Linked DNA regions of Caenorhabditis elegans. The protein of the gene in region 1 purifies or fractionates together with the protein of each later gene. This does not show direct contact. Each region holds a gene or a part of one and is shown in the gene's direction. Other genes may lie near its edges.

Region 1 (4,780 bases):
TTTTGTTAAAGTTTCACTTTTCTTTTTTTTTTTCCGGATAAAACTTATTTTTTGACAACTTTTAGCCCCTCAAAAAGCTCTGATAAAAGGCTTAGACGTCAGGTCCCAAAATTGAAAAAAAAAGTTCCAAAATTTTTATTAATTTTTTTGTTTCTTTCTTTGTGAAGTTTTTTTTTGTAAATTCGATGAAAATCGAACGTTCCTTATGAAGGCACCCTTAAAGAATACAAGCTGGAGTAAAACCAGTGAGAAAAGCGGGGGTGTGCAAGTGCGCTCCGCTGGCCGGAGTGATTCCAGGTGTGCGATTCCGTTAGCGTCCAGAGGCTTAGAATCTAAAGCAATTGTGCCACATTCTCCAAATTTATAGTAATTTTTATCATCGTCTTGCTCGACCCGCTCCACACTGATAACAATCTCTTCATTTTATTTTTTCCTTCTTCTTCCCGCCGGCGCGTAAATGTTTACAAATGGTGCAAACTCTCTGGGAAACTATCGATGGCGCCTAGAATACCACTAATTAGTCAAGTGGCGCGCAACCTTGGCAAAATCGTCAATGCCAATTTCTACAGGGTAAGCGTGACGAAGCAAGGCGATTTCGATGTCTAATCTCAGGTTAATATCTCAACCGTTATTTTCTCCAACTTTCCACCCTTTTTGATGTTGTGAACGTCGAGATTCCTGACTCTATGACATTCTTTTGAAGTTCCGTATTTTTGGAATATTTTTAAAAAATTAAGCTCGCGAATTCACAAAACTTTCTCAAGGTTATAGAACATTAAAACCCTAGTGAGAGACATATTACTGCTAGATGAGTTTCAATGTTTACCTTGTTTGCAGGTCCCACGCGGATTCTAAAGTCTAATGTGTGCCGATGTGTCATAAAAAACAATAAGAGCAGAGCACCAACAAGCCATGTTTGGCTCCATACGTTTCTTCCATTTTTCTATCGATCAGTTCAGTAGGACCGCTTAAGAGCCTATATACATCTCGTCATATTACCAAAGGCCGGGTTGCGTAATGGATTGCGTTGAACGTTTCCCCCCCCATCGAGGGAGGTCACCATTGCTTTCCACACACCAACACCACACTTTACCTACTAGTTCATATAACTTTTGATATTGATCCAACAAACATTGAAGCAAATTTTGCATTATTTCTCTCTGTCATTCACATTGCTCGGAGCCAGTAATAAGAGAGAGCAACAGGTGGTCTTTCTCCAAAATGAAGATCGCCGAACAGATATTACATATTGCCTGCTCGATCTAATCCTTATATGTATGCCGTTACACGTTATTCAAGACAATTTACCAATCTAAATGTTGTCCCATCTGGAACAAAGAGCATGCCATCTGAAGCATTAGATGGGAAACTGCTAGCAACAGTGACCCCTCCTCTCTCTATCTCTCTTCACCGTCTGTCCTGCCTTGAATGGTCCCTTGCATAACCGTACGCATTGAGCACCTTTCCGCAACATATCGATTAGTCTCTCTTTCTCTAATTGGTTTTCTTTCTCCAGTCATACCATTTTTCATTATTTGAAACTTAATTTCAGTTAAGGAATTAAAAAAAAAATCATTAGATTTATTCTATTTTGTTATTTACCTTTTCCCTTGCCTCATTCTTCGCTGTCACGTGTTTATTCCTTCGCCTGTTTCCTTGATTTTGAAATTAAATCTCTTTTTTACAGATTCCGACACAGCGCACGCGCCTAGGGACCAATTATCAAGCGCTTTTGAGAGCAGCAGATCGCGACGAGTATGCGGTCGGCACTTAGTTTGAAGGTAAGTATTTTCTGAAATTGTAAAAAATATATTTACAATGCGACTGTCAAATTAGTTACATTTATTTATTCGCGATCTTTTTTCAAATTTTCCGCATTTTTCGAGCTCAACTTTACCGAGCTGGTGGAAACAATTTTTTCCGATTTCTGATAAAAATTGGTAAGTGGTGAGTGCGTGAGACGCTGGTTTTTTAACAGTCAAAATGAATTCGATTCCTTTAAAATTATGTTTTTTATATATAATTAATAATTAAACCTATATTTCAGCCGAGCAACGGAAACGCGGCGAAAAGTCAAGCAGTGAACAACAAGAACGTGATCAAAAATGCACCATTGGGAGGAAAATTGACACGTCAAATTGGAACCAGTAATTTGCTTCAACAAGCTCTACCAAGCAAGAAAATAGATGAATCACCAATTATCAAAATAGATGCAAAAGACAGTTTTAAAGTATTTGAGGATCAGGAGCCAGAGAAAGAGAATTCTTCTGAAAATGTTGATGCAACGGAGAAAGATTCTAACGTAATACCTGCTGAGGATAACAATATGATACACGAATTGGAACGAAAGATGGAAGAAAAGGTTAGATTTGAACTCAAAATTGTAATTGTTTATATACAATTTTTTGCAGAGTCGTGCAGAAAAACTGAAGTTCAAGTTCATGCAGACTCGAGACAATAGTGATATCACCTCAAGATTCTCAGAACCACCTTCAGAATTCTCTGTTTTATGTGATGACGACGATTGTGATGTGAGACCAAGAAAATAATATCAGAAAATTGAACTTTTCTTTCAGAAAGTCTCCGTCGCCTCTTCAACCTTCACCACAAGCGTCCGTGCAACCTTCTCATCATTCCATTTTGATGAAAATCAGCGCAAAAAGGAATTTGGAAAAGAAGAAGCTGTGAAGAAGATTCAAAAGAAAGCAGCGAAGGAAGCTCGTGATGATTCAATGTTCAGTTCTGAAGAATTTTTCCCTGACATTATCAAGTACATGTTACACCGTCAAACGAAGAATCGAGCTTCACACGAATGCTTTGACATACAATCACAAGTTAATGAAGAGATGCGAACAATTCTCATCGATTGGTTCAGCGATGTCGTGAAAGAGTACAATTTCCAAAAGGAAACATTTCATCTCGCTGTGAGCCTCGTTGATCGGGCTCTTTCAATGTTCAACATTGATAAAATGCGATTTCAATTGGTTGGAACGACGTCGATGATGATCGCAGTGTATGTTTTTAAATAAAATATTTCAATTGAATGTGAATCTCAAATTTCAGGAAATACGAGGAAATCTTTCCGCCAGAGATTGAAGACTTTGCTCTCATCACTGACAACACCTACCGAGTTCCCGACATTCTTTTAATGGAGCGATTCTTGCTCGGAAAGTTTGACTTCGTTGTTGCAATGCCCACATCATCTTGGTTCGGAACATGTTTTGCCAAGAGAATGAACTTTACAAAGTGAGTTTTAATATCATCATTTTTAGCTCCTGTGAAAAAAATTAGCGATCTTTCTCAATTTTAAACGTTATTTTATTACAGAAAGATGCGGAATACTGTTCATTATCTCCTCGAGTTGTCGCTGATAGATGTCCATTTTCTACGTTACCGCCCATCCGATATTGCAGCTGCGGCTTGCTGCTTTGCAAATCTCCAGGCTGACGTTGAATCCTGGCCACAAAAAATGGTTGACGACACGGGAATCAGTACGGAAGATTTTGTGGACGTGCTGAGGGATCTTCACAGGATGTACCTGAATGCATCAACGGCAGATTTCAAGTCAATATTCTACAATTACTCGGAGACTGCACAAATGGAAGTGGCCCTGTTACCGGCACCTACTGACAAGCTTCGATCGATGTTCCCATCGATCTTTGTCACCGCTCCAAAATCTTCCAACGATAGTAGTAGTCCCCAGTAAATAATCCATGTTATATTCTTGAATTCTCCAAATTTCCCGACTTTCAATTTCATTCCCTGTCTTTGTTTGCCTTTATCGATTACATCTTCTAAAATTCTCCTTTTAAAACTACGATTTTATGTAACAATTCTTTGTATTTGTATAACTCATCCCGACAGGAATCGGAACATACACGGATATGATCCGATATTAAAAATTCCTTTTTTGTGTTATATGTAATAGTATTATCAGTGCTCTCCATCCACCCCCTTATCTGGCTGTTTTACAGCTTTTTCTCCAGTTTTCTTATTTATTTATGATACTCCTGGCTTGGCAACTATGATCTATGATTCCTTTTTGTTCCGAGCCGTAATTTACGCACTGCGCTCATTGTTTTATATTTGTTCCACGATCTCATCTCGTAGTTGCTCTCCCCATCGTTCTTTCGTTTCTCTTTTTCAAAATGTAAATCTAAAAATTTTTATAATCATGATATCAACTGAAATTTTATATTATTTATTGTGCTTTCCAAATGTTAGAAGATACCTTCTTTGTCAAATAAATCTTTTAAATAAAAAAAAACAAATAGTTTAACCGTGATAGTTCCCGTAGTTGGCGTATTCTGGAATTGGAAAATCATTCAATGAATCTGAAAATTGAAACTTACGAGAAACAAAAGCGTCTGCCATTTCTGGATCAAGCTCCTCGATATATGTAGAACAAGACATGTACCAGATTCTGAAAAAAACACTTAATCGAATTAATTAAATTTTTGATAAGTATACGGTAGCTTGTCTCGACTCGACAATTTAAAAAGTAAATTGCAAAAAATAGCGTGCGCCTTTAATAAATACAGTAATTCCCAAGTTATTGCTGCATCCCAATTTTTAGGATTTCATTTACACTAAAATTTTAAATGCAAAGTGTTAAATGAAAAATAGAGACTACTGTATTTTTTAAAGGCACAGCACATTACCCAAACGCGAAATTTTGTGATACACGACAACTTTTGTTAAATGCAAAAAGGAGCGCGTCTTTAAAGGGTACTGTAATCGCAAAACTGTGTATTTGCGAATTTTCCATCGAATTTTCAGA
Region 2 (7,658 bases), on another chromosome or scaffold:
TTTCCCACACGTTTTCCGGCGGGCGATTGTCAATGGAGCGCGAAAAATTCAATGAGGAAGGTCAGAACCCCGTGACCTCAAAAACCTCAAAAAAAAGTCTATTTTTCGCAAATTTAGTTGTAAAATTCCCGAGAAAATTGGATTTTTCAGTTAAAAACCCGGATTTTTGCCAAATTTTCAATTAAATATCGATTTTTTTCAGACGACGATTTCGGGTGTGACTATGACGACGATGAAGAGGAGGAGGACGAGGACGAATGCGGCTCGGACTATAATGATGATGACGAGGATTCGGGACAAGGAGAAAATTAGTCAATTTTTTTTAATTTTCTATAATTTTTTCCCCATTTTTTTTCTCAATTTTCTCAATTTTCCAACCTAGAAAAATTCAAATTCATATCAAATATACCACGAAATCTTGGCGCTTCTTTCAAACAAAAAATCTTCAAAATCCGACTCAACTAGTCCTTTTCTCAATGCATTTATATGTACACTTTTGCCCTTCCCAAGCAGCTATCAATTCATATTTGTGTTATACTCAATATTTTTTCGTCTGGAAACAGTTTTTTTTGTCCAATTACACACACACACAGGCTGATCACAGTGCACTTTCAACTATTTTTGTTTTCTATAAATGAAGCCTTCTTTTTTCTAAATTGTCTCGGAAAATTGCAGATTTAGAGTTGAATTCTCAAAAAATAAGTCGATTTAATCCGAAAAAAACATTTTTTTCGCAAGTCTGCATTTTTGCGTCACGGTGTTTGCGGACACTGTAGAAAATAATTTTTTTTGAAGCAAAATCGCAATTTTAACGCATTTTTCTCTTGATTTTAACATATTTTTACTCTAAAAACCCGTGAAAGTAATATTTTTTCTCAATTTCAGCACTCTAGAAAATGAGCAAACGACAGAATCCCGCCGAATTCCTGAAGAAAGTCATCGGAAAGCCGGTTGTGGTGAAGCTCAACTCTGGCGTCGACTACCGTGGCATTCTCGCATGTCTCGACGGGTTAGTGATTGGGAAAAATCAAAAAATCTGATTAAAAACACCTGAAAATTAATTTTTCTTCCAGAAAAATTACGAAAAAATCTAATTTTTCAGATATATGAACATCGCGCTCGAACAAACCGAAGAATACAGCAACGGACAACTTCAGAACAAGTACGGCGATGCGTTCATCCGCGGGAACAATGTGCTCTACATCTCCACATCGACGAAATAACTTTTTTTTGATTTCGATTTATTTTCCAAATATTTTTCCCTTTTTTGAGCTATTTTGAGCAAATTTCTTGTTTGATACGTTTGGATCTCGAATAAATTTGTGTTTTTTTTTTCGCCGAAAATCTGAGTTATTTCGCTCGAAAACAGGCTTTTTCAGCAAAAATCGAGAAATTTCTTGGGTTTCCTCACCGTTAGACGCGTCGCGGTCATGCGTCACGTGCGGTGGGTCTCACCACGATTCGATTTACGGGGAAGCATTTTCGAAAAAAAGAAGACATTTTTAAGTCAATTTATCGCGTTTTCATCGATTTTTCGAGCTTTTCCGGTGATTTTTTCGATTTTTCAACTCAAATTTCGAATTCTACGTATTTTTGTGCCACTTTCACTGCAACAATCGCAATTTTCAGACAATTTTCAAAAGGATAATGCCACCCGGACCACTTCCCGCCTTAGTAAGTTGATTTTTTTTTTGATTTAAAAACTGATTAACTTTTGCTCTCCGAGTGGTAAGTGATAATTTGTAATGATATGCGATCACACTAAGGCTAAACCGCCTTGCGATGATCTTTCCACCCGCACTGGAAAAGGAGAATTAGGCGGTTTTCTGCCGCCCGATATGTGATCGCACATTTCAAATGATACCATTCAAAAACTATACCTAATTTCATAGTGAAAAGACCAAAAGAAGATAAAGAAGAGCAAGAGAGAGAGAGACGTCGCACGAAATCCATCAGTCTTCTGTCCCCCCATCGATTTTCCGAAAATTGAAAAAAAAACAGTTAGTTTCAAAGTTTGAGCGTTTGTGTGCTCATTTTGTGCTCGTTTCTAGCCTTAAAATTTCGAATTTTCCATCAAAAAACTCATTTAATTTCAGATGAAAAGCGAATGGCTCAAGTGTCCGCGATGTAAGACGAAACAGCTCAAGCCAGAGCTCATCAGCACCGAACCCAATGGATCCGATAATATTTGGTGGATATGTGAGGCTGTTCAGGTAGAAATTCATGAAAAACTGAATTTATATTGGGAAACCAGGCAAAAATCGAGCTAAAAATCGAATTTCAGGTTGTTTTGGCTCGTATGAACGGAGAAAATCAGCTTTTCATAGCAATTTAACTGAAAATTATTGTTTTTTATATCAATTTTCGGTGAATTTCCGATGTTTTCGACGATTTCTCCCCTCAATCACTGGATTTTCACAAAATTAACTAAAAAATTCCGGTTTTATTGAATTTCAAGTTCAAAACTTGAAAATTCTGTGGGGAAATTGCTTTAAAACATGCCTATGGTACCACAATGACCAAATATCATAGTAAATTTTTTTTTTAATTTAGAACATTAAAAAAAATTTTACTATGATATTTGGTCATTGTGGTACCATAGGTATGTTTTAAAGCAATGTCTCCTCAGAATTTTCAAATTTTGAACTTGAAATTCAACAAAACGGACAATTTTTAGTTAATTTTGTGAAAATCGAGTAATTTTGAGGCGGAAAAATCGTCGAAATCATCGGAAGTTCACCGGAAATTGATTTTAAAAAACATTAATTTTCAGTAATATTTCATAATCACGCTCTCCTCAAAGCCGGAGAATTATTAGAGCGCGCTTGCTGCGCTTCGCATTTCTGCATCCGCGGTAATTTGACTTTCCACTGAAAAAAGCAGATATTTCAGATTTATCGAATTTTTAGCTTTTAAAATTTTTTAAATGCATCTTTCGAACAAACCTTTTGTTAAACAGTGAAAATCGAAAAATGACTAAAATGAAATTTTTCGTCCACTGGTTGTGAAATGGTTTGAATTTGAAGAAATCAATGGGATTTTTCTTATTTTCTAAATATTTTTCTATTAAAAATCGGTTTTAACCCATTTTTTTGACCCTAAAAGTCACAAATGTTTTAAAACCGATTTTAATAGAAAAATATTTAGAAAATAAGAAAAATCCCGTTAATTTTTTCAAATTCAAACCATTTCACAGCCAGTGGACGAAAAAAGTTCATTTTAGTCATTTTAAATTCGATTTTCACTGTTTAACAAAAGGTTTGTTCGAAAACTGGAGAAAAATTTTTTTTAAAGCTAGAAAATTCGATAAATCTGAAATATCTGCTTTTTCAGTGGAAAGTCAAAATACCGCGGATTCAGAAATGCGAAGCGCAGCAAGCGCGCTCTAATAATTATTCGGCTTTGAGGAGAGCGTGCATAATTACGACTTTTTTAAAAACTAAAACTGCCGATTTTAATCATTTTTTATTTATTTTTTATTTGCAGAAATGTCAATTCCCAATGGATATGCCTCCACACGTCTATCATGTCGTCCAAACTGCCTTCCAAAAGCGTCAAAAATGCATTCCCCTGCCACGCATTGAGAAGCTTCCCGAGAAATATCAATATCTGTATCCCCTGACGTTCGCCAACTCTCGACCGGTCTCCCGTTGCTCATCAGTGGCTGGAAATTCTGAAAATTCTGAAAATCGAGCCGCCAGAAACTCGTTGGACGGGACGACGACGACGACGACTACGATTTCTGAGAAATCCAGTGGTCAGAATAGGCTAAAAGCTGAAAGTCTTCATTCCGAAACTGTTAATAATACAAATACCCCTTCAACGTCTTGCTCGGCAGAAGCTGAGCTTGAAAATCAGAGTATTGATGATGTGGAAATTGAAGAAGAAGAGGCCGTCAGGCCGTGTAGGACTATTAAGCGACGGCTTAATGATTCTGGAAAATCGTGGGCTTCGTTGATAGAAAAAGTTGCGGCCGACTCGAAAGCGTCGAATACTATTATAAATATGGAGGTGAAAATTTGGAACTTTTGAGCTGAAAAAAATTTGAGTTTTCCCGAATTTTTAAGCGGAAATTTGAATTTTCCTGGATTTTTAAACGGAAATTTGATTATTTCCGAATTTTTTAGCGAAAATTTGAATTTTCCCGACTTTTTAGTTGAAATTTAAACTTTCCCAAAGTTTTAAACGGAAATTTGAATTTTCCCGAACTTTTTAACGAAAATTTGAATTTTCCCGAATTTTTAAATCTAAATTTGATTTTTCTCGAATTTTTAAAAGGAAATCTGAATTTTCCCGAATTTTTAAGCGAAAAATTGAATTTTTCCGATTTTTAAGCGAAAATTTAAATTTTCCGAAATTTTTAATCGATAATTTGAATTTTCCCGAATTTTTTAGTGAAAACTTGAATTTTCCTGGATTTTTCATCGATAATTTGAATTTTCTCGAAGTTTTCAACGGAAATCTGAATTTTCCCGAACTTTTTAACGAAAATTTGAATTTACCCGAGTTTTTAAGCGAAAAGTTGAGTTTTTTTCGAATTTTTAAGCGGAAATTTGAATTTTCTCGAAGTTTTCAACGGAAATTTGAATTTTCTCGAAATGTTTACCAAAAGACTGAATTTTCCCGAATTTTTTAGTGAAAATTTGAATTTTCCTGGATTTTTAGTTGAAAATTCGAATTTTCTCGAAGTTTTCAACGGAAATCTGCGTTTTCCCGATTTTTTAGCAAAAATTTGACTTTTCCCGAACTTTTTAAAGAAAATTTGAATTTTCCCGAATTTTTTAGTGAAAATTTGAGTTTTTCCGAGTTTTTTTAGCAAAAATTTGAAATTTCCCGAATTTTTTAGTGAAAATTTCAGTTTTGCCGAATTTTGGAATGAAAATTTGAATTTCTTCAAAGTTTCCCGTATTTTTGAGCGAAAATTTGAATTTTCCCGATTTTTTTACTGGAAATTTGAATTTTCCCGAATTTTTAGTGAAAATTACACTTTTCCTGGATTTTTAATCGATAATTCGAATTTTCTCGAATTTTTAAACGGAAATTTCGATAATCAAAAAATTGGAAGAAAAAAAAATCGCGATTTTCTGGGTTTTCTGGGTGAAATCCTTCGAATTTTTGCTCAATACTGCGAAAAAAACGCAAAAATTTTCATTAACATCTCCCAAAAATCGATTTTTTTTTTCAGGAATCCGAATTATTCCGTCGTATGCAGGAGTTTTTCGATGCTCACTACTTCCAGCGTACTCCGATGACCTATAAGCGTTCAAGAGCGGCTTTACGGTTGGAAATGCTCAACAAATGGCAAAAAATCGATAATTTTAGACTTCCCTATCGGATAGAAGACATTGAAAATTGTCTACAATCAATAACTCGTGAAGATTGGAAAACTGCCCGACGTCGAATGATTAATTTCACTGTAGAAGAGAAAATGGTGGCGAGAAGTGGAAATGCGGATGAGTTGCTGAAAAGTGTTGGAATTGATTTGCAACAAATTAAGAAAGCTGTCGGAGAGAAAGTTGGCAATGTTATGGTACGGATTGAAGAAGAGGAAAAATGACGAAAATCATGGAAATTTTTGAAAAATTTGGCCGAAAAAACGAAGAAAAACCTAGAAATTTGATTATCCTGCGAAGATTTTGCAAAATTTTAAAAAATTTGGCATAAAAAAACAAAAAAATTCGATAAAAACCCAAAAATTTGATTTTCCTGCGACGATTTTGCAAAACTTTACACAAATTAGCCAAAATTCAAAAATTCGCAGAATCTACATGAAAAAATAATTTTTTTTCTCGAAAAAATTGCTTTAAAACGCGCCTATGGGGTCATAATGACCGAATAGCATGGTAAAACAAATGCAAAAAAATTTTCTAAATTTTTTATGATATTTGAAAATTGAAAAAATCACAGTTTTCCCCCTAATTCCGATTCGAATTTCCGCTAATTGAATTTGTTCGATGGAGTGTGCTTGCATTATTTTCATTAATTTTTTAAAAATTTATTTTCATTATTTCACTGATTTTCTTCATTTTTTGGGCGTTTTTAATCGGAAAATGAAAGAAACATACGGGAAAAATGCAAAATGTTTATTAAAAAGTAACTGAAAATGCCTAAAACTCTGAAATTATACGATCCGACGATGACGAGCCTGAAATAAGTATTATTCACAGTTTTAGGCATTTTCAGTTACTTTTTAATAAACATTTTGCATTTTTCCTGTATGTTTCTTTCATTTTCCGATTAAAAACACCCAAAAAATGAAGAAAATCAGTGAAATAATGAAAATAAATTTTAAAAAATTAATGAAAACAATGCAAGCGCGCTCCAACGAACGAGTTCAATTGGCGGAAATTCAAATAGGAATTAGGGGGAAAACTGAGATTTTTTCAATTTTCAAAAATCATATAAAATTTAGAAAAAAAAATTTTTTTTGAATTTTTTTATTATGATATATTCGGTTATTGTGGTATCATAAGCATGCTTTAAAGCAATTTCAAAAAAATCAAATTTTAAATTTAATTTCCGAAATTTATGGGTTTCTGTTTTCAGACATTTTTCTCGAAATTCGCTGAAAAATACAAAAAATGCCGATTTTTCCTAAAATTACGCAGTTTTCGATTTTTTTTACAAAATTGCCAATTTTCCTACAAAATATTTGAATTTTTCCGATCTTTTAGTCAAAAAAAGTCGAATTTTCCAATTTTTTTTTCCACAAAAATTTGATTTTTTCCGATTTTTTACACAGAACAACTTGAATTTTTCTTTTTTATTTTCATTTCGGTCCAAATTTTGCTGCGCGTAAATAATATTTTTTTGATTAATAAAATAAATAAAAAAAAGACGCTAATTTCCTCATTTTTCAGCGCAACTTCAGCCTGGCAAGCCTGGCGAAGCGTCGAAAAATCGAAGAGGATCGTAAAATCTCGGAGAAACTGAAAGCGGAAACCCGTAAGCAGACGATTCATCAATCGGTTTCTGCGAGAATTCTGAACAAGAAGCTTCGACGTGACGAGGAAACGGCAAGATCCTTGACGAGTACACCATCTCCGGCTCCAGCTCCAGCTTCTCAATTCCAGCAGGAGCCGGAGCCTGTGCAATTCCATGTGGGAAATTATGACGAAGAGCCGGAGTACCAGGAGCACCAGGAGCCAGATGCTCATTGGGGCTTTGAATTTGACGATCTCTACGAGAGAATTGATGCTCAGAATCATCAGGCGGCACCACTGGATCCGGCTGATCCACTGGAGGCGATGCTTCTCGGATTGGAAGAAGCTCCGATTATGGAGCAACACCTCGATTTTGAGCCCCAAGAGCATTCGGGTGATGAAGCGGAGCCTGAGAATGATGATGATGATGTTTTTACGGGTTTTAATGTTCAGGAGAACTCGGAATTTGTTAATGATAATTTTGATTTTTAATTCTTCTCGTTTTTTCCCCCGCTTTTTTACTTGAAAATTGGAATTTTTAGATGGAAATTGGCAAAATAGCGGATTTTTAGCAAAATTTTCCCCTGAAAAAAATAAATTCCCTGAAAAATTTAAAAAAAAAACCGATTTGCCGGAAATTTTCAATTCCGGCAAATTACCGATTTGCCGGAAATTTTCCATTCCGGCAAATCGGCAATTTTTCTGTTTGCGGGAATTTTTCAATTCCGGCAATGT
Region 3 (6,757 bases), on another chromosome or scaffold:
CTGAAAATTAGAATTCCAGCGAAAATGACACTCGGCTTCAATTTTCATTTTTCGTGGCCTAAAATTAACTCGGCCACCAATCAATCGAACCTCGTAAAAAACGAAAAATCGCCAAATTGCGAAGTAAAATTCGCGAATTTGAAAGTTCCATCATGCAGGCAGGCGAACAGTAGGCACGCCAAAAAATCGATCGACGCCAGAATGAGTCCCCATGAGAAACGGGAAGCCACCGTCGAATTCATGGCAAAAAAAAGCAGGGAGAAGAAGTTGCGATGAATTGAGTTGGGCAGGCAGTGTGAGCTTATCAGTGAATTGATAATCAGTGGAGAAAATTGATCAACGATGGGAACTGATAAAATAATATAATGCACCGTCCGTTTAAAGTCAAAAATTGCAAATTTTTTCATAGAGCACACACACAAATACTTCTAGAAAATGAGGAGGGAAAAAGTACATTCTAACGAAGGAATACACGAGGATTCGGGGGGAAAATCGATAAATCGATAATTTTTATGGGGAATTTATTTATTATTGATGAGTCGATTGGCCACTGTGTTCACGCTTGATGGGACGTTCTCGATTGTGGTGAATACCTGAAAAAAATTGAGTTTGAAATTGTTGGAAATGCGCTCCACTGCACTAGCTTGGGTCTCGCAGCGAAATCGCGTAAATTTGAAATTCCGGTGAAAAAAAACGGCAATTTCAGGTATTTTCTATGCTTTTTGAGTGGGAACTTGGAGAAAAGTGCGATAGAGCGCGTTTGCATTATTTTCGGATAATGTTTGAATTTCCTACAATATTTCTGGTCTCGCAGCGAAATCGTCGGAATTTTGCTAATGTCTGTAATTTTCTACGCGAAATTTTGAAAAAAAAGTGCCATGGAGTGTGCTTGCATTTTTTTTAAAAACAATTTCAGAATTTTCTCTGAATTTTGGACTAAAAATTGCGTTTTGCATTATCTTTCCTACAAAACCAGAAGTTTAAGACTTTTCGAGTCAGAAATTGGAAAAAAGTGCGATGGAGCGTACTTGCATTTGGTTAATTTTTGACGTGGAATTTTTTTTGAATTTCGCTTTTTGTGAAAAAAAGTGTTTTGCATTATTTTCAGCAATTTTCTCCAAAATTTGTGTCTTTTTGTCATATTTTTCCTAGTTTTAGGCACTTTTTTCGACGTTTAGCTCTGAAATTTGACTAAAAATGACTGAAAATTTATATTTTTCAATTTTTCAGATAGATTTTTGAAATTATGGAATTTCTTGAACGTTCGGCGCCAAATCTCCATTTTCCAGGACTTTTTTCCAACTTTCGCAGCAATTTTTCCGTGTTTCCTCTCAAAAATGCAGCCTACCGAGTCAACAGCACTGTTCCACTTTCCACCGGCCTTCAGCTGCACATCTTCGACTGTTGGGAGCTGAAAATAAGAAAAAAATTGCATTTTCAGAGAAAAAATCGATAAAACCTGCTCTGGAAAGACGACGGTGCCGGGAAGAATGTACTTTTTAAGCTTTTGATACAGTTCGCTGCCCTGAAAATGAAAATTTTCGTGGAAAAACGGGGGAAAACTAATACTTTAACATTGTTAGTCGACCAAATATCGTTATCGATTGACAGTTTGACGGCGCCGGCGACGAGTCCAACTTTAATTCCGAGTTTTGCAGTTTTCCACAAGAATCCCATGTTGCCGACCTGAAAATTCGAATATTTTGTGTGAAAAATCAGTTATTTTGCAACAAGACGTGAAAAATAAATAAAAAATCACAAATTCAAGAAGAAAAGTTCAGAAAAACTGAAAAAAAATCGGAAAAATAAAATGAACGTCGCGCGCACGAGAAATGCGCAAGCAAATCGAGACTCGCGTCAGAGCACGAGAAACGCGCCAGCCTCGTCTGCGTTTCTCTTCTCACAATGCTCTCTCTCACTGAAATAAGCTTATAAGCTTAAAAGTCTGCAAATCTTTAATTTGGCGAGGGATAATCGAAAATTTAAGCTCACAGATGCCTAGAAAATTAAATTTTAAGTAGATTATATTAAAATTTCATAAAAATAATGATAATTAACGGTATTTATTAAAGTTTTAGATTTCATCAAATTTTCAGACTATACTATAGTCTTGCAATTTTCAAAGAATTTTTCCTGCAAAAAACAAGTACAAAGCATTGATCAAATTAACACTATCAAGTTGACAGTGTCAACGTTTAATCCCCCAGCAGTATTTCCCTTAAATTGATCACTGCACTTTTCGTTATCACCACGAGCATCATAAATTTTTTTACTTATTTAAAATTCCGGTTTCTGATGCACCATGGTCAACTCGCCGGTTCCTGTCCGATTTCTGGTACTTTTTGAACTCAAAACCCCCGGAAAATTGAATTTTCACGATTTTTTTGCAGATTTTAATATGTGCCACACTGTGTTTGACCTCGATTCTTTCAAATATGAATACTTATAATTTTACAAAAATTTGTATGCAAGATGATAATAGTACTTCAACTTCAAAAGGTTTTTTTTTTAATTCGGTGGCCGAGTTTTTCCATTGGCGGCCGCCAAAATAGTTGATTTTTTCAGTGAACTATACCAAATCAGAGTCGAATTTTCTTCAATCGTGTGTGGCTATTGGAAGTCTTGCCGCCTCGATTCCATTTTCCATTTCTTTTCAACATTTGCCGCATAAACCTGTCTTCATTGTCGCCGGAATTATTTCGGGAGGTATGACGTCAATCGTGGCCGCGAAAAAAAAAAATATCGGTGGCCGAGTTTTCTGTAGTTTTTATTTGTTTCGAGAAAACTGACTAATTTCTATAGACTAATTTTATAAAAACTGTGCATTTTGTCGTCAGATCCAGTGCATGCGTATTTTCAAAGCTACAGTACCCCAAAAAGCATGCATCGAAAGCATACAAAATTTTTGAAATTGATCGTCAAATATGGTGTATTGCACAGTGGGCGTTGAATTTGACGCGCAAAACAATAATCTGATTTTTCGAAACAAAAACATGGTGCATGAAGCACAAAAAATTGTGAAAAATTCCGCGTAAGCACGTGGTGTCAGGCTGTCCCATCACGGTTTGATCTACAAAAAATGCGGGAATTATTTGCCCGAAAATATGTGACGTCAGCACGTTCTTAACCATACGAAATCAGTTGAGAACTCTGCGTCTCTTCTCCCGCATTTTTTGTAGATCTACGTAGATCAAGCCTAAATGAGACACTCTGATACCACGTGCGTAAAATACTGAATTAAGTATTTAAGAATCATATTTTACGCGCAAAATAAAACAGATTTCACGAATTTTTCTGAAATTAAAAAAAAATTATCGATTTTTCAAAAATTATTGACATTTATTGTCCGAGAGGAGTACACCAAGCATCATTAGAGCGCGTTTCCATTTTTTAAATTTTAAAATTGCGCGTCAAATATGATGTATTGCACTCAATTTTTCCAGTTTCAACAGCCCTTATCCCGTTGGCAAGTACCATTGGCTACGGATGGTTTGTGGCCGCCCGTATTTGTCAAGGAATGGCATTTTCAGCCACATTTCCCCTCGCTGGCTCAATTACAGCAAATTGGGCGACCCCATACGAGCACGGAGTATTCATTGGCCTATTAACCGGAAATACACAACTTTCAAATATATTTACAATGCCAGTTTCGGGATGGTTATGCTCTTCGTCTGGTGGATGGACGTCGGTTTACTATGTGCACGCCGGTGTATCGTTGGTCACTTTTTCGCTGTTTTTCCTATTTTTCAAGTGCTCGCCGAGTGAGCACAGTTGGGTTGGCGAGAAGGAATTGGAGAGGATTCGAGAAGGGAAATCGGGAAAGAAAGTGAGTGCAAACGCGCTCTACCGGACACAAATTATAACTAGATTTTGGAGCGGAAAAAAACCTGAAATTGTACCACGTATCATTTTTGAGAAAAACGCGCCCGAAGGACTACGGAAAGCCCAAGCCTAAGCGCACGTGGTGCCTGGCTGTGCTATTACGGTTTGATCTACCAAAAATGCGGGAATTTTTGCCCCAAAAAATGTGACGTCAGCACACTCTTAACCATGCGAAATCAGTAGAAAACTCTGCGGCTCTTCCCCCGCATTTTTTGTAGATCTACGTAGATCAAGCCGAAATGAGGCACTCTGACACCACGTGTAAGCCTAAGCCTAAGCCTAGGCCTACGCCTAAGCCTATGCCTTAGCCTATGCCTAAACCTAGGACTGAATTAGTGGGTTCCTCGGGGTACGCAATTTGTCGACAATTAAGACGTTCCCTCATTAGTATGAGAAAATCCCAAATTTTTCTAAAACTGCTAGCAAGGTAAATGGGTTTCATGTACGCAAATTTGCTTCAACTTCAAGATTTTTTACATGAGAGTAACCGAGTTTTCAAAACCTCGGCCACCACATCGCATTGCATGGCCTAACTTTTCACGGGCTTCGAATTTCCCCCATGTTTTCAAATGGAAGAGGTGGCCGTGAAAAAAGCGAACCTCGACCGGGGGTCGCGACCTGCGACAAACAGGAAAACTCAAAAAAAGTAGCGACAGTACGAAATTTCTTTGAGTTTTCCCGTTTGTCGCGAGTCGCGACCCCCGGTCGAGGTTAGCTTTATTCACGGCCACCTCTTCCATTTGAAAACATGGGGGGGGAAATTCGAAGCCCGTTACTTTTTCGTTTTGCAGGTATCCCGGCCAAAAAATCTTCCATTCCGTCATATTCTGACAAGTTTAAGCCTGTGGGCTTGTTGGATCGCATCGTTTGGAGATTTGATAACAGTTCAATTGGTATCCCAATTCAATCCGCAATATATGAAAAATTATTTGAACTATGACGTACTTTCGTCCGGTTTTTTGGCCGCCTTACCCATTATTTTTCAATTTTTTACGAAATTATCGTCGGGAATTATTAGTGATTATATTAAGTGAGTTTTTCGGGGGTTTTTCCTGGAAAAATAATTTTATAATTGTGAAAAAAATCAGTGGCCGAGTTTTTCCTCTCTACGGCCACCAAAAATCAATATTCCAGATTCATCTCAGAAACTCTGAAAACTAAAATTTTCAACACAATCGCTCTGGCCGTGGCCGCCGTTTTTTTCATCGTTCTAGCATTTATTCCACAGGAAAAACACTTGCTGGCTATTATTATAATGGTGAGTGGGTGGTGGTGGTGGCCTAGATAGGAAAACTCTTCCAGTGGGACAAGTGCGCTCAATTGATAATCCACGTTGAAAATAACCGATTATCAACATAGCGCACATACATCCATGGCCTAGTTTTCCTATTCTCTTCCATCATTCCAGATTTGCGCCGAAAGTGTGATGGGGTGCAATACGGCGGGATTCAACAAGTGTGCCACGTTGCACTCCCAGCAGTACGCCTATTTCGCAATGCAGCAGGTAAGGGGGTGGCCGAGAAAATTTTTAGGCCAACGATTTCTCTTCCAGATCATGAACATCTGGGCTTGCACGATATTCATCGAACCGTTTTTCGTCAATATGATTGTTACTGATGATACGTGAGTTTTTAGGGTATTCATGTAGGCACGCAGGCATGAGGAATGCAGGCAGGCATAGGTAAACTTAAAGGCAGGCATGTAGGTATATACGGTCTAGAAAAAAAAACACGGTAAGCGTAGGTCACTTTGGAGGCAGGCAGGAAGGCATAGGCATAGATAACCTATGTGAGCTGGACCGGCGTAGATTCCCTAAAAGACTATCGAAAAGGCAGATAGCATTAAAAGCAGGTAGATAGGCACAGGGTACATTGGGGTAGACGTAGATAGCATGTAGGCTGACCTAGGCCACCTTGAAAGCAGGCAGTTGACCTACATAGTTTGTAAGGTAGGCATAGGCCTAGAAGGCACTGACAAAAATGCAGGCAAACCAGCATAGGTCTCACTTGAAGGTAGTCAAGTAGGTAGGCAAAGGTCCCCTGCAAGGCAGACGTAGGCAGGCAGGCGTAGGTCCCCTAAAAGACAAGATTATTTTTTTCAGATTCACAGACTGGCGTAATTGTTTCCTGGCGCATGCGGGCTTACTTCTCTTCGTAAATACTATATTCTGCCTGTTTGCCGACGCCTCGCCAGCAAAATGGACCAGATTACAAGATGATGACGTGGCAATTGAGGAGGAAAAAGAAGAATATTCTGGAAGTATTGAAGATATTATTAAGTTGTAAAAGTTGTACACTACTGTATAAATTGTAAAAGTGTTCCGAAGATTTTCGGCGCCCCAATAAAATTGAATGGCTTCTAGCTGAAGCTTACCTCCTCCCTATGAAATTTATGAAAAAAAATTTGCGGACATTTTTCTATTATTATTATTACGTAAATGCCCCAATTTCTACCACAAATTCTTATAGTTTTGCAGTTTTTTGTAAAAAATTCGGAATTTTGTATTGGTGGGAGCAAGTGTCAGAGCTCCATGTGCTATTCGTGAGTTTTTTTAAAATCTTGTCTAGAAAATACTGTAATTAACATAGAAATAGGGCATTTGAAACATGGCCTAGGAAAAACTATTGGTGGCCGAGTTTTTTTCCGTAGCTGTGAAAAGTGAAAAACGAAAAACCTCGGCCACCATTCAACTTTTTGGAGCATTTTTACAATTTGGAAAATTTAAATTTTGGTGGAATTTTCTAGGCCACGCAGTAGAATTCTAGGCCACTTGACGAATTCTGGATTAAAAATTGATTATAATTTTGATTTTGCAAAAATTGAGAAAAAAAAACCAGAAAAATAATTTTTAATTTTAAAATTTACTATCAATTGA
Region 4 (7,963 bases), on another chromosome or scaffold:
GCGCTTGTGACCCCCTATTTATTTTTTTCCGGCTCTGGCTTGGTTCACAGTTGGGCTATTGAGCCTGCTGGGGGTGCCTGATTCTGTTCAAGTTGGCCTAGCATCCGTGTTTGTGTACTGTGAGCGACGAAAAGAAACAGCGAAATGTTCGCTTTTTTTTTTCTAAAAAAGGCAAAAAAATTGAGGATAGGCCGCGCTGCACACGAAAATGCAATCGCGCTCTAACGTCAAAGCTCCGCTCCTACAAGTTGGGTCTCGTTAGGTATCGGCGGTAAAACCGTAGTTTCAAAAAATTTCAACTATTTTCGTCGATTTCCAAACATGGTGTCAAGATGTTCCATAGCGACTTGATCTACAAAAAATAAGGGAAATTTTTCCACAGAAAAATTACCTCATCACACTCTAAACCATGCGAATTCAATTAAGAAATGTGCGTCTAAATTACCGAAGCGATTATTTTTTATTTCATAAAACTGTTCAGCATAATCAAATATACCAGAAAATACCAAACAACATACTCTAGCTTGTACGGAAGTTTATTTTAAAAAATTTCAAAACTTAACCAAAAGCTGTTATATTCAAAAATTCAAAAGTACGGTAAAATGGTATGGAGTCATTCTTTTTTATTTCATAAAACTGTTCAGCATAACTAAGTATACCAGAAAATACTAAACAACATGTTGTTAATTAAAAAAGACATTTTTTAGCAGTTTTTCTTCAGATTTTATTACGGACACACTAAATCCTGAGAATGCGTATTGCGCAACACATTTGACGCGCAAAATATCTCGTAGCGAAAACTACAGTAACTCTTTAAATGACTACTGTAATGCTTGTGTCGATTTACGGGTTTGATTGTGTCATCACTGTCACTGTTCGAAAATAAAATCATTTCGAAAATCGAGCCCGTAAATCGACACAAGCGCTACAGTAGTCATTCGAAGGATTACTGTAGTTTTCGCTACGAAATATTTTGCGCGTCAATTGTGCTGCGCAATACGCATTCTCAGGATGTAGTGTTCCAGAAATATCTAAAATATAAATTTATTTAAAAAAATAAATTTTTAGCAGTAAAATTGAATTTTTTTAATTGTATTAAACATTTTAATAATATTTTATTATTGAACTAGAGGTTGTTTCATGAAATAATTTGAAATAATTTTTTTTTTCAATTTTTTCGAAAAAAGGTAATTATTTTTGAATTTCTGACGATAATTTAGCGATTTCTGGCTTGAATCACCTTTTTCTTTCAAATTTTCAGACTTTTTTTCCGGAAAAAAAGTAAAATCATCGATTTTTACGCCAAATTTTTTTTTCTAGTGGTATTTTTTTTCTAGTGGTATCAATTTTCCTTCACGCAAAAAATATCTGAAAATTAGATGAACGGTGTTTTAAGTGTTTTAAATCGAAAAATCAAAACAAAAACAATTAATTTTGACAGAAAATGGGAAAAAGTCAAAACGTTTCATTTATTTGCGCAGGAATTCGAAATTAATTCATCCACTTTTCTTATATACTTGCAAAATTCTTTTTAAAAAATCATTAAAAAATTGAGATAAAAAGTTTTTTTTCAACAGTTATATTATGTTGTTACGGCCAATTTTCTATGCTTTGAAGCAAGTTTTCAATATAATTTGTTCTAAATTTGATCTTAAATGAATTTTCTTTAAAATAATCTGCAATTTTTAGGAAAAACTGTTTTTCAAGCAAGAAAAACTAAATTATTTATTTATTTTTAATTAAATTTAAATTCAAATCCGCTACGGCGAGTACGGTGCGCATCGGTGTTTGCGTACTCGCCTACCGTACCCTCGGTGTTGTTGGCGCGAAAATTTTGTTTTCCAATTTTCAATCATGGCGCCAATTTCTGCATTTTCGGTGCAATAAACCACTTGTTTTCGTCAATTTTTTGATTGTCTTCTCCAAATTTTTATCAGTCATTCTTCACTGTTCACCTTCGTAGCCGCCGGTGACACCGAAAATGTCGGATATTGCTGCTCGTTTTGGATTCTTCAACTGGAACAACGTGCGCCCGGTAAGTAATTCGCTGATTATTTCATGCTATCAAGCTTCTTCTTCATCATCTGCTTCATCTGCTTCATCTCTTCATAAGCCAGAAAATCATAAGAAAAAAAACAGCGAGCAGGCAGGGATTTAAGTGAGTGTGTGCGTGCAAAATGGGGAAACGGCCGGCTGAATCTTGCCGAAAAACACGTACGCTTCACTTCAGGCTTCTCCTTTTCGCTTCTCGCCGGCACACACACACACACACACACATGTCAGTCTACTTTTCCCGCCACTTTTCTTCAGCCCATCCTCTTCCTCTTCTATAGGACTTCGGCTCCCAGCTCTCGTTTCACTGGTCATTTCATTTCATAAGCGACGGTGAAAATTGGAATCTATCGAACCTATACGCCTCAAGAATCGTTCACCTTGCCCCCTCCAGCTCGTCGCGTTGTTTGTGCGGTGATTGGTCCTCACTGTACATATACAGTGTTCAAAAAACGGAAAAATACCCGTTTTGTTGTTCTGCTGCACCGCCCGTCTTCTCATTGATATCATAACAGGAGGCGGTGATGATAAGAAAGTCGGGAAATTAATATTAAAGCTTCTAGAAACAGATTTTTCCTCGCCAAAAAAAAAATAAAAAATCTCTTGATTTCTTGGTTTTTCAATTTTTCAATCTTCAATCTCGTCATCTTCTCGACAAAAAATTTGAATCTCCGCCTGCTTCTCTCTCTCTCTGTTTCCCTATCAGTGTCCGTCGGGGTCACACACAACATGTATTTTTCTCTACATCTCTGCTTCTCCCAGAGTTGTTTTCCTCTCCTCACATTTTACACACACGCTCACAAACCCCTTCGCATCCTCTCCCCATCCATTTTTTTTAGATGGCTCGGGCCTCTATGCTCTTTTTTCGATTCCACATAAGCGTGGCAGCTCCCCGAAAGTTTTCGGAACTTTTTTTCAAATTTTCTCAATTTCCAATGGCATCGATCATTCACGTGCACACACTCGTCTCAGTTGAAAAAGAATTGATAAATCGGCAGTGACAAGAATTGTTTATCAAACACAAAGCGGCCATGTCTACCGATAGTCTTTTCCATATTCGAACAGATTTCCGCAAGATTTTAATTAATTAATTCGAGTTGACAGCACAATCTTTGAAGATTCGGTTTTGCGACAATTAAATGCTTTTCTTTGACAAAATCATAAGTAGAAAAGCTTTAAAGTTCAAGCTTCAGGCTAAACAAAAAAGGCTGTGAGCAAAGAACAAAGTCTTCCGTAGCCCAGAAGAAAGTGCCCCTCACTTTCATTAATTTTTTTTTCGATTTTCTTGGGCCGACCGGGTGATAAAAATACACCGAAATATCCTGTCGTCGTCTACTGATTGTTGTTTTATTATCACTTACGCGTTATCAGTTTATCGGTAGTTTTCTGCATGTTGACTGACCGCCGACACGGTCAACACTGATATTATTCGACGTTTTAGCCTGATCAGTTTGAAGCGATGCATTTCACTCCTCAATGATCAGCGAAAATATTTTTTCTTCGATTTTTTTTTTGGTTCAAGGAGGAATGCTTGCTTGTATAGGATCAAAACTTCGCAGAAAATTACTAATTTTAGCTAAGATCCCCAGTTTTGCCAGCTTTTCCGTGTCGCAGTGCTCAGAGACTAACTTTTATTTGATTATCATCTTTTATTGCATATTTTCATCACTTATTTCGTTGATTGAGGCATTTTTGGTCCCTTATCGGCTTAAATGCACCTAGATCAATGAAAAAACGTTGGATAAATGCCCAATAAATGATGTTAATCAAATAAAAGCTAGTTTCTGCGAACTGCGACACGGAAAAGTTCGCAAAACTAAAGGTTTTTGCGGAAATTTGCGATTTTTTTGAAAAATATAGCAAATCCACGTGGCTTTCATACTTTTTTCAAAAATCTTTCATCTTGGAAATCACGGGGCCGGCCCCTGCTATCAATATTGATTGTTGACTGATCACTGAACTGCCCCCCTCCTGTTGACTTTGTACTGCGTCGACTACTATCTCGCAACACATTTTGTTTTCTGGCCTGACTCGCCATTGCCTGCAGTGTTCGAAATTTTTGTTTGTCCACCATTCTTATCACAGTAGCCGAACAAGTTATAATTTTCACCACTTTCCGCTCATTTTTTCTCCCAAAAAAACCAATTTCCAATTTTCAGCAGCCCGTGGTTGCCGAATCGACTGCCTCATCGTCGAGTCCGAAGCTGTTCAGCATGATCACCAACGATCACGATCGTCGCAAGCAGATCTCCGTGCGCGGAATCGCTCAAGTGGAGAACGTGTCGAACATCAAGAAGGCGTTCAATCGCCACCTTCACTTCTCGATCATCAAGGATCGTAACGTGGCCACCGATCGCGACTACTACTTCGCGCTCGCCAACACTGTCCGCGATCATCTCGTGTCTCGCTGGATACGAACTCAACAACACTACTATGACAAGGATCCGAAGCGGGTCTACTATCTGTCGTTGGAGTTCTACATGGGGCGAACGCTGTCGAACACAATGATGAACCTCGGAATTCAGGCGACCGTCGACGAGGCGCTCTACCAGCTCGGTCTAGACATTGAGGAGCTTCAGGAGATCGAAGAGGACGCCGGGCTCGGAAACGGAGGACTCGGACGTCTCGCCGCGTGTTTCCTCGACTCGATGGCCACGCTGGGTATTCCGGCTTACGGATACGGGCTTCGCTACGAGTACGGAATCTTCAAGCAACTTATTCGTGACGGATGGCAGATTGAGGAGCCAGACGATTGGCTTCGCTTCGGAAATCCATGGGAGAAGGCTCGTCCAGAGTACATGCTTCCGGTCAACTTTTATGGAAAAGTTGTGAAGGAGGATGTGAGTTTTGATTTTTTGGAGAAAATTAAATTTAAAAAAATAAAAAAGGAATGGGCCGAACTGGGGATTGAACCCGGGACCTCTCGCACCCAAAGCGAGAATCATACCACTAGACCATTCGGCCATGTTTGGAAATCGTGTTTGGAAGCAATCAAGATGCACAATAATCGATAATTGGCTGATTGCGAGAAATAATAAGATTCGATATCTCTTCATCACCAGCTTTCACGTATCTAATCGTGGCCGAATGGTCTAGTGGTATGATTCTCGCTTTGGGTGCGAGAGGTCCCGGGTTCAATCCCCGGTTCGGCCCATTCCTTTTTTCTTTTTTTCGCTTACTTTTTTTATTTTTCATTAAAAAATATATTATTTCAGGGAAAATCGAAATGGATCGACACTCAAGTTGTGTTTGCCATGCCATACGACACACCAGTCCCCGGATACAAGAACAACATCGTCAACACGCTTCGTTTGTGGTCCGCCAAAGCCGAAAATCATTTCCACCTCAAGTTCTTCAACGACGGAGACTACGTGCAGGCTGTGATGGATCGTAACTTGTCCGAGAACATCACTCGTGTCCTCTACCCGAATGACAACGTATGTTTGAGCTAGATTTTGGCAGAAAAAAAAAATCAATTTCCCCACATTTTCAGATGTTCCTCGGAAAGGAGCTCCGTCTCAAGCAGCAATACTTCCTCGTCGCCGCCACCCTCCAGGACATCATCCGCCGCTTCAAGTCCTCCATCTACGGAAACCGCGAGGCCGTCCGTGTCAACTTCGAGACCTTCCCGGATAAGGTGGCCATCCAGCTCAACGACACTCATCCATCGATCGGAATTCCCGAGTTGATCCGTCTCCTCATCGACGTCGAGGGACTCACCTGGGATCAGGCCTGGGACATTTGCATCAAGACCTACGCCTACACCAATCACACCTTGCTCCCAGAGGCCCTCGAGCGCTGGCCAGTGTCGCTTATGCAGAATTTGTTGCCGCGTCATTTGGAGATCATCTACGAGATCAATCAGAAGTTCATGAACACCATCTCGCAGAGATTCCCAGGAGATTTCGACCGTATGCGTCGTATGTCGATTGTCGAGGAGGCCGATCAGTTCGGCGAGAAGCGCATCAATATGGCTCATTTGTGCATTGTGGCTTCTCATGCCATTAATGGAGTCGCGGCTCTTCACTCGGATCTTCTCAAGAGCTCCACGTAAGCGAAAATGCTCTGAAACCTGGCGCTAGAACCAATGGGCGACGCATCATTTTGCAGCTCCGCCGCACGAATTTATTTTGGCTGTTTTTCGCATGATGTTTTGAAAGATTTCGATATGTGAACTCGATAAAATCACGAAAAATTGATAATTTGTCATTGAAAATTCGGACAGAAAGAGAAAAAACATCGTGCGGCGGTGTTGCTAAATCGCGCGCCGCAAATTGCAATCCCGGCCCGCCCAATTTTTCTTACGCGCAAATTGCAAAATTACCATTTTAAAAAATTAATATCATCCATTTCCAGCTTCCGTGACTTCTATGAGTTCTACCCGGATCGCTTCCAAAACAAGACGAACGGAATCACACCACGCCGCTGGCTTCTTCTCTCCAACCCATCTCTCGCCGACCTCATCGTCGAGAAGATCGGCGAGTCGTGGATCACCAATCTCGACGAGCTTCAGAAGCTCAAGGAGTACGCCAACGATGCCGGGTTCCTCGATTCGATTCGTCGTGTGAAGCTCGAGAACAAGCAACAAGTCGCCCAGTATTTGAGCGACGAGTACAATGTCAACGTGAACGCCGCTTCGTTGTTCGATGTGCATGTGAAGAGAATCCACGAGTACAAGAGACAGCTTCTCAATATTCTCCACGTCATTGCTCTCTACAATCGTATCAAGGAGAACCCGAACATCGATATGGTTAAGCGTACCGTGTTGTACGGAGGAAAAGCTGCTCCAGGATACCATATGGCTAAGCAGATCATTCGTTTGATCACCGCCGTCGCCGAACAAGTCAACAATGATGCCATCGTTGGTGATCGTTTGAAGGTCATCTTCCTCGAGAACTACCGTGTCTCGATGGCTGAAAAGATCATTCCAGCTTCTGATCTCTCTGAACAGATCTCGACCGCCGGAACCGAGGCTTCAGGAACCGGAAACATGAAGTTCATGTTGAACGGAGCTCTCACAATCGGAACTCTCGACGGAGCCAACGTTGAGATGGCCGAGGAGATGGGCGACGAGAACATCTTCATCTTCGGAATGAACGTCGAGGAGGTTGAGGCGCTCACAAAGCGCGGATACTCTTCGCAGGAGTTCATCGACAAGAGCCCAATGCTCAAGCAGATCATCGAGCAAATCGAAGGTGGCATGTTCACTCCAGAAGATCCAGATCAGCTCAAGGATCTCTCCAACATGCTCCGCTATCATGATCGTTTCATGGTGTGCGCCGATTTCGACGCTTTCATTGAAGCCCAGGATAAGGTAAAACTCAAAAAATTCAACTAATTCAAATTTTTACTGATCAAAATAAATTATTTTCAGGTCTCCGCTACATTCCGCGACCAAGAGAAGTGGTCTCGCATGGCCCTCTACAACATCGCCTCGACCGGAAAGTTCTCAACAGATCGCACAATCACCGAATACGCTCGTGAAATCTGGGGAATCGACCAGTTCGAGAGCTCTCTTCCAGCACCATATGAGAATGAGAAGAGCGAATAATTCTTCTATGCACTAACATTGTAATTAATTATCGCCATAACTTCCCCTCCTCTCCGTCCCATTTAGTTTATAGCATTTTTATAGAAGCCTTTCCCTCCCCCGATAATTCTTGTGAATCTTCAAGATCAAATTGATTTTGTCCTCTCTGCCCCCAGTCCAATAATCGTACTTCCCCCGAATGTGTTGCCATACTTTGAGATTGTCTATTTGCACGTCTGCCCTGCATATTTATGATAAATTGACTGAAAATATCAACTTTTTTTTTTTAATTTTGACTCGAATCTGCAAATGCTGAAATTTAATTAAAAATTATGGCTGTCTGAAGGATCTTCAAAGAAGTTTCGATACCTCTACGACCAG

What was found.
Region 2: the proteins of cya-1 (region 1) and Y71G12B.13 fractionate together in Caenorhabditis elegans (co-fractionation; one large-scale study listed by BioGRID). This does not show direct contact.
Region 3: the proteins of cya-1 (region 1) and W04C9.6 fractionate together in Caenorhabditis elegans (co-fractionation; one large-scale study listed by BioGRID). This does not show direct contact.
Region 4: the proteins of cya-1 (region 1) and pygl-1 fractionate together in Caenorhabditis elegans (co-fractionation; one large-scale study listed by BioGRID). This does not show direct contact.

The regions. Positions count from the first base shown.
Region 1 is NC_003281.10:9,106,180-9,110,959, reverse strand, and holds cya-1 (G2/mitotic-specific cyclin-A1), read left to right. Parts: upstream 1-1,687; 5' UTR 1,688-1,757; coding exon 1,758-1,781; intron 1,782-2,047; coding exon 2,048-2,362; intron 2,363-2,411; coding exon 2,412-2,531; intron 2,532-2,576; coding exon 2,577-3,013; intron 3,014-3,063; coding exon 3,064-3,246; intron 3,247-3,327; coding exon 3,328-3,706; 3' UTR 3,707-4,261; downstream 4,262-4,780. Other genes in the region: dos-1 (Delta and osm-11 homolog protein 1), read right to left, coding at 4,276-4,307, 4,353-4,423. UniProt on the Caenorhabditis elegans protein: Involved in the control of the cell cycle after S phase. May bind to and activate cdk-1 and/or cdk-2 to promote cell cycle progression. Necessary for embryogenesis.
Region 2 is NC_003279.8:1,700,476-1,708,133, forward strand, and holds the start of Y71G12B.13 (RING-type domain-containing protein), read left to right. Parts: upstream 1-1,629; 5' UTR 1,630-1,647; coding exon 1,648-1,674; intron 1,675-2,096; coding exon 2,097-2,213; intron 2,214-3,486; coding exon 3,487-4,011; intron 4,012-5,185; coding exon 5,186-5,280; intron 5,281-5,322; coding exon 5,323-5,530; intron 5,531-6,860; coding exon 6,861-7,415; 3' UTR 7,416-7,658. Other genes in the region: ubc-3 (UBC core domain-containing protein), read left to right, coding at 203-312; lsm-6 (U6 snRNA-associated Sm-like protein LSm6), read left to right, coding at 897-1,009, 1,103-1,223.
Region 3 is NC_003279.8:483,536-490,292, reverse strand, and holds W04C9.6 (MFS domain-containing protein), read left to right. Parts: upstream 1-1,900; 5' UTR 1,901-2,302; coding exon 2,303-2,335; intron 2,336-2,390; coding exon 2,391-2,499; intron 2,500-2,565; coding exon 2,566-2,706; intron 2,707-3,443; coding exon 3,444-3,826; intron 3,827-4,673; coding exon 4,674-4,912; intron 4,913-5,016; coding exon 5,017-5,140; intron 5,141-5,290; coding exon 5,291-5,386; intron 5,387-5,434; coding exon 5,435-5,505; intron 5,506-5,983; coding exon 5,984-6,167; 3' UTR 6,168-6,254; downstream 6,255-6,757. Other genes in the region: haf-4 (ABC-type antigen peptide transporter), read right to left, coding at 91-242; W04C9.2 (MICOS complex subunit MIC13), read right to left, coding at 522-593, 1,349-1,411, 1,460-1,525, 1,570-1,677; W04C9.9 (Zinc finger protein), read left to right, coding at 6,413-6,423.
Region 4 is NC_003283.11:3,577,187-3,585,149, forward strand, and holds pygl-1 (Alpha-1,4 glucan phosphorylase), read left to right. Parts: upstream 1-1,955; 5' UTR 1,956-1,981; coding exon 1,982-2,035; intron 2,036-4,200; exon of another isoform or gene 4,201-4,211; coding exon 4,212-4,892; intron 4,893-4,944; exon of another isoform or gene 4,945-5,016; intron 5,017-5,133; exon of another isoform or gene 5,134-5,205; intron 5,206-5,267; coding exon 5,268-5,489; intron 5,490-5,545; coding exon 5,546-6,102; intron 6,103-6,408; coding exon 6,409-7,366; intron 7,367-7,426; coding exon 7,427-7,603; 3' UTR 7,604-7,856; downstream 7,857-7,963.